Callithrix jacchus: one gene and its partner. The main gene of each other region encodes a partner of the protein of the gene in region 2 in a complex. Links are inferred from orthologs where the notes say so. Each region holds a gene or a part of one and is shown on either strand. Other genes may lie near its edges.

Region 1 (3,518 bases), on a different chromosome or scaffold from region 2:
GAGGAAGAGCTCTGCTGGGCCACATACTGTGGATAAGACAGGAGTCGAGGCAGAGAAGGATTTCTATAACCTCGAGAGTAGCAGCCTTCCCTGCTTCCTATTACTGCTATTCTGAGGGAACTGTGTTGGCAACAGCAGGGTGGGGGCTTCTTATGTGACACTCCAAAATGGGAGTTGGGGGTAGTCTGGGTCTTCAGTCATTAAAATGAACCAGTCACTGTACACATACCAACGAGAGCATTAAATAATATCAAAGTCAGCCAAGCACAATGGCTCATGCCTGTAATCCCAGCACTTTGGGAGGCCAAGGTGGGCAAATCACTTGCGCTCAGGAGTTCAAGACCAGCCTGGGCAAAATGGCCAATCCCTGTCTCTACAAAAAAATAGAAAAATTAGCCGAGCATGGTGGTGTGCACCTGTAGCCCAGATACTCAGGAGGCTGAGGTGGGAGAATCACCTGAGCTTGGGAGTGGGTTCTGTTACTCTCCCCATTTGCTGAGATGTCTAGAGATTAACTTACCCAGGGTTGTGTGGTCAGTAGCCGATCCAGGGTTTAATCAAGTGTTCTCAATCACGTGCGGTCAGGTCATGGACATGGGTCATGACAGTGTCTTAATATCGTTCATGTCAAATTATAAATTCCAGGAAACTGAAACTGATTTTCCCCTATCCGCAGCATCTAACACATGGCCTGGTATATACAGCTGGCGCTCGATAAACACTTACTGGATGAATGATGTGGCCAGAGGCCGTCCTTCCAGGCAGCCTCCACCCTACTCTGCCAACATGGAATAGGTATGGGGCAGCTGGATGTACACAGGAGAAACATACCACAGGTGCCCACATCACAGCTGGGCAAGCTGGACAGCACTATGGGATAACAGTGCCCACTTATCTGGCAGATCAGGCTAGAGGCAAGGAACTGATATACCTTCTCAATGTCCCAGTCCCCGGAGAGCCTAGGGCAGAGGGGATTCCCTGGGACAGAATTTCTAGTGCTCCCTGATATTCCTGTCATGACCCACAAACCAGGAACCCCGTATTTCTCTCTCTTCCCTCTTTTATAAGAAAATCAGGGGCTGAGCTCAGTGGCTCACACCTGTAATCCCAGCACTTTGGGAGCCCAAGGCGGGAGAATCACGAGGTCAAGAGATTACCAGCCAGGCTAACACGGTGAAATCCCATCTCTACTAAAAATATAAAAAGTTAGCTGGGCATGGTAGCACACACCTGTAGTCCCAGCTACTCAGGAGGCTAAGGCAGGAGAAGCGCTTGAACCCGGGAGGCAGAGGTTGCGATAAGCCAAGATCACACCACTGCACTCCAGCCTGGGCAACAGAGCGAGACTGTGTCTCAAAAAAAAAAAAAAAAAAAAAAGAAAAGAAAAAGAAAATCAGATAACACTGTAGTAGGAGTTGAGTGTAAAATCAGAGCATATAGCAAAACTAAAAATAATCCAAGTAATCCCTTAAAAAACAGACAAACAAAAAATAGAGACAGGGTCTCACTATGTTGCCTAGGTTGCTCTCAAACTCCTGGCTGAAGCAGTCCTCCTGCCTCAGCCTCCCAAAGTATTGGGATCACAGGCGTGAGACTGCACGCGGCCCAAGTAATCCTTAAACATTCTCCAAAACCCCACAACTACGCTTTTGGGAATTCCAATAATTAAATTCTTCATTTTCTTCTTGCAGTTCTTCTGTGGCCACCCTTTCTCTGGGATAGTGGAAATGGGGTCTAGTTGATGGAGGTCAGGGCAATGGTGACAAGAAAAATAAAAAGAGGTCTTTCCTCTCTCTTGGGCTTTGTTTCTTTTGCCAAGTCTCTGGAATTGAAGCTGCTGAAGTTACAGGAGCCCGTGACGCTACTGTGCCATGGAACAAAAGACTCTAACCTCTACAGAGCAGACGGAGTGGAGGCCCGCTCCAGCCAGGCAGGTGCTGCCACAAACAGACTATGTGTGGTACCCTCTGACTGCCTGGAGAGACCTCGTGAGCTCTGTGAGGGGCAGGCTGGAGAAAGAAACAGGTGGTGGCCCCCTCCCCGCCAGACCCACCCACAGGGAGGCTGAGGAGCTGCTTACCCCCACCACAGGCCTGGATGAAAAAGAGCTTGGGCTTCCCTCCCAGGCTGGGGCAGCTGGTCCCATTGAAGATGTTCACAATCTTCTCAACTGACACAGGGTATCCATCTGTGCCGTAGACAGCCCCTGGAAACTGCAGGTGGCTGGCCTAGAAGATCAAGAGCCTTGGTTACAACACCAAGAAGCTGGAGTAGGAATCCCACAGCCTATTCAGAGGTTTCATGGGGGCCGAGCATTCGGAAGGTCAAAGCCAGGGGCACTAGGCTAACTGAGACAGAGAAGTTGGTTCTGGAAAGACTGGTCAGCATCTGTTCCAGGGGTCTCATCTCAAACTCATATCCCTCTAGGGGCCAGACAGTATGCCTGGAGAGTGCTGCCTGCGGCCTCTAGACCACTGGCTCTCAAAGTTTGGCCCCTGGAGCAGCAGCATCAATATCACTTGGGAACTTATAAGAAATGAGATTCCCTGGCCCCACCCAGACCTCCTCATCAGCAGTCTGGTCCTCCAGGCCCCTCTGACTGAGGCAGCTCAACGCTAACAGGGGCTGCTTTAAATCAATTCAGCTCAAACCTCAAGTGCACGGAAATCACCTCAAGTTCATGGAAGTCATATTGGGCAGACTGGGAATGAAGAGGTCCAGGGTAGGGCCTAGGAGTCCACATTCCTCACGCGCTCTAGGGACCACATTATGAGAGAAAGGACCAAAGGGAAAGCCCTGCCCAGCCACAGGCTGGAGTTTTACTGGCTAAGGATTCCAGACAGGTCAGGCCAGACCTTTGCGGTTTGTCAAGAGAAACTAGGAATCATAATTTTTATGTGAAATTTGCCAGTTTTCAAAACACTGCACAGACCACAGGGGGACTCCAGGCCCAAGCTTGTAACTGTGATCTGTCCAACTCCTCAACTTAATAGATGAGGAAATCAAGGCCCGGGAAGGGGTAAGGGCTTAGCCACATGACAAACACATGAGTGAGTGTCCTGAGTCCCACCAGCAGCAAGGGGCCTGGAGCAATGCCTTGAAGGACAGGGACAGAAGCTGAGACATCATGTGTGCTGTGCCTGCATATGAACAAGCTCCAGGGGCAGGAGCTTTGTAAGCAGACCTGGTCTCTGCCCTCCCTCTCCCAGAGGGCTTCTCCCAGGAACAATGCCCTGCCCAGGAAGGTGCAGCCAACTCTTCAGAGGACCACATGTCTCCCAAGAAAACAGCAGGAGGTGGGCAGGGCCCCACAGCCCTTTTCCACAAAGCCAAGGGTGTTTTGGATACAGGAAGGGAGAGGGCCCCTGCATGGCTGCTTGGCACAGCTTTTACCCAATGCCTGCCCAAGGAGCAGAGGGAGGCTTCCTACCTGACAGCCGTGAGAAAGGATGACCACCACACAGCAGTCCAGAGCACCGTGGTCCCGCCGCGCCAGCTCCAGCAAAGTCAGCCTCATT
Region 2 (3,518 bases):
TCAAATCTTCAGCTGGCCACGGTGGCTCATGCCTATCTATGATCCTAACACTTTGGGAGGCTAAGGCGAGTGGATCACTTGGGCTCAGGTCAAACTCAGGAGTTTAAGACCAGCCTGGGCAACATGGTGAAACCCCATCTCCACCACAAATACAAAAATATTAGCTAGGCATGGTGGTGTGTGCCTGGTAGTCCCATGGGGGACTGAGGTGGGAATATCACTTGAGCCCAGGAGGTTGAGGTTGTAGTGCCACTGCACTCAAGCCTGAGTGACAAAGTGAGACCCTGTCTCAAAAAATAAAAATAAAATCTTCAATACAATGGAAAGCATATATATAAAGAAAATTCAAGACAAAAAATAAACCAGAAAACAGCACTTATTTGCAATATTTATGGAAAAAAATAAAGTCAGATAAAAGAATTTTTTAATGGGTCATGTTACCTTGTGCATCTTGGCACTGGCCATGTGGTAGGCCAGAAAGTTGTACCAATACATACAGTCTTCCTGATCTGGTAAAAGATTTGGCAGCTGGTAATATCTCTGAAACTGAGTGATCATCTTCTTATGTAGATCCTGCAACCCAAATGAAACATTTCAGAAGCCAGAAATAATTCTATAACCTAAGCGTCACAGTAACTTCAGCTTCCAAAGCTATTAAGAATGTACAAAGGCCAGGCTCAGTGGCTCACGCCTGAGGATCACTTGAGGTCAGGACTTCAAGACCAGCCTGGGAAACATAGGGAGATACCCCTATGTTTTATTTTTGACAAAAAAAAAAAAAAAAAAATCAGTCAGGTATGGTGGCATGTGCCTATGGACCCAGCTACTTGGGAAGTAGCTACTCAGGACCATTTGGGCCCAGGAGTGCATGCCAGCCTGGGCAACACGGTAAGACCCTGTCTCAAAAAAAGAATATACAGAGAATCTCCCCACAAGATAATGACTTTACAGTGGAGAAACCTGGCAGATACCACTTTAACCGAATTACCAACATTAACATCACCCATAATAAAACATATCAACACCAAGAGGCTGAGCACGGTGGCTCATAACTATAATCCCAGCACTTTGGGAGGCCAAGGCAGGTGGATCATTTGAGCCCAGGAGTTCAAGACCAGCTTGGGCAACATGGCAAAACCCTACCTCTACAAAAAAATTTTTAAAAACCACCAAGTACTCTCAGGATATGATGCCATGGAGAAAGATACAACCTCATTTCTGTGGTGGTCTTGTCAAATACGTATAACTTCTATCCAGTCAGGAGAAAACATCAGACAAAATCACATTTGGCTATACTGTACAAAATTACTAGCCAGTACTCTTCAAAAGTGACAAGGTCATGAAAGACAAAGACTGACGAATTTTCACAGATTTGAGGAGACTAAAAAAAATGACAAGTAGGGAAACAAGACAATCATGCAATATGGGATCCTAAATTAGCCTGGACCACAAAAAGGACGTGTAGGTTAGTGAACAGTGTTGTATTAATGTTAGTTTTCTGGCTTTAACAATTGTACTATGGTTACATAAAATGTTAACATCAGGGGAAGCTAGATGAAGGGCTTATGCATAGAAACTATCTACTATTTTGTAACTTTTCAATAAATCTAACATTATTTCAAAGTAAAAATATTTTTTTAAAGTGAACTAAGATGCAAGTACCTGAAGCTGGCTGCGATTCTTTTCTGTAAGAAAATCTACTTGAAGATCGTGTAAATAATAACGAAACGACTTTCCATTCCGATCACAGAATAAAAGAGACTTATTTACAAACTCCTGCAGTATGTCTTCAACTTCTTCAGTTTCCATGTCCCAGAGAATGCATAACACCTAGGAATCATTGTATTTAATATGCCGCACAAGTACAATGACCAGGACTACAGACAGGTGTTAACACACACACACAAAAAAAACTGCATCTTAAGGCCCTGAGTAAGAATGTCTTCATTTCCTAAAAAGAAATCCAACTACTCCTCAAAATAAAAAAGAGAAAGAAAAGTCAGATGCTTCTTCAGCTTCACTAGAACCACAGAAATAGGTTAACTCCTGAGTTCAACACAGGGCCCTTAATGGAGGCTAACAGCAGAGGGACTTCTATATCCAACACCCTACCACCTCAGTCCCCTGGGTCTTATCCTTCCAAGGTCCTCTGTAACAACATGCTCAGTACTATATCAAAGCTTACATGCAATAAATACCCAATGATGAGGACCGTTGATCCCATTACCTTTGTAGGCACCTTAACATCCTTGGGAAGGATGGAAAGATCTGTGTAATAATTTTTGATGTTTTCTCTGAGCATTTCAACACTTATAGACATGGCTTCATCTAGAGCCTCATAATCATAAGATGAAGATTTCCTTATTCTCTTGAACTGTTTATTCTGAAGTTGTCTGAGGTAGTACTCCCAGCGATTGGGAAAATCACGTAAAAGTGCACCAATTAAAGATACTACAAGGGGAGAGCCTAAAAAAAAAAAAAAATGAAGTCATTGTGCTAATACCGTCCTATTTTGTCACTACTAAGAATCAACTTACTCTTAAGGAACAATTTCTGCTGCATGTTATCAAAAGCCTCAAGTATTTATCACTCTTGACTTTACTTCTAGAATATTTATTCCAAAAAATATTAGAAATAAGAAAGATTTCAAGGAAGCAAAACACACTGCCATGTATGTACCTACGCAACTGTCTTGCATGTTCTGCTCATGTACCCCAAAACCTAAAATGCAATAAAAAATAAAAAATAAATAAAATAAATAAATAAATAAATAAAAAGAAAGATTTCATTTAATAAATTCCTGATTAGCTTTATTAAGTCAAAATAATATAGATCAAATCTGGCTAAGACATCATTACAAAAAAAAGAAAAAGAAAGTCAGCCTGGGCAATATAATGAGAGCTTGTCTCTACTGAAAATAAAAATTAAAAAAATTGGCAAGGTGTGGTGGCATGTGCCTTGATTGCTTGAGCCCAGAGGTTGAGGCTGCAGTGAGCCATGATGCAGCCTGCACTCCAGCCTGGGCAACAGTGTGAGACCCTGTCTTAAAGAAAAAAAAAAGCATGATTTCATTTAAGCATATTCATCCCAGCATTATTTAGAATAGTGAAAAAATCTTAAACAATGTAAACAATGACAATAACAGAGAAGTGGTTGAATACATTAAGATACATCAATACTATGCCACTGGTAGAAATATTTTCAAAAAACTATTTAACAACATGAGAAAATGCTCAAGATACATAAAAAGGGGAAGATACAGCTGGGTGTGTCAGCATGCACCTGGAGTCCCAGCATTTTGGGAGGCTGAGGTGGGAGGACTGCTTGAGAGCAGAAGGTTGAGACCAGTCTGGGCAACATGGTGAGACCCAGTCCCTACAAAAAAATTTTTAAATGAGTCAGATATGGTAGCCGGCATCTGCAATCCCAGCTATTCAGAAGGCTAGGGCAGGAGGACTACTTAAGCCCAGACATTCAAGACTGCAGTGAGCTGTGGTCACTGCACTCCAGGCTGGGTG

What was found. The genes of interacting proteins can lie anywhere in the genome.
Region 1: the proteins of APAF1 (region 2) and CASP9 are in contact, whole or in part, in a crystal structure (PDB 4RHW), measured with the Homo sapiens proteins. The link is inferred for Callithrix jacchus from reciprocal best matches to the Homo sapiens genes APAF1 and CASP9. Residues at the interface, in NP_863651.1 of Homo sapiens: Thr22, Ser23, Tyr24, Met26, Asp27, Ile30, Ser31, Ile37, Glu40, Glu41, Arg44; in NP_001220.2 of Homo sapiens: Asp23, Trp26, Asp27, Leu30, Arg36, Pro37, His38, Glu41, Gln44, Arg45.

What each region holds. Positions count from the first base shown.
Region 1 is NC_133508.1:52,830,594-52,834,111, forward strand, and holds part of CASP9 (caspase-9), read right to left. Parts: coding exon 3,431-3,518; intron 2,229-3,430; coding exon 2,081-2,228; intron 1-2,080. UniProt on the Homo sapiens protein: Involved in the activation cascade of caspases responsible for apoptosis execution. Binding of caspase-9 to Apaf-1 leads to activation of the protease which then cleaves and activates effector caspases caspase-3 (CASP3) or caspase-7 (CASP7).
Region 2 is NC_133510.1:101,750,659-101,754,176, reverse strand, and holds part of APAF1 (apoptotic protease-activating factor 1), read right to left. Parts: intron 2,467-3,518; coding exon 2,228-2,466; intron 1,831-2,227; coding exon 1,663-1,830; intron 574-1,662; coding exon 442-573; intron 1-441. UniProt on the Homo sapiens protein: Oligomeric Apaf-1 mediates the cytochrome c-dependent autocatalytic activation of pro-caspase-9 (Apaf-3), leading to the activation of caspase-3 and apoptosis. This activation requires ATP. Isoform 6 is less effective in inducing apoptosis.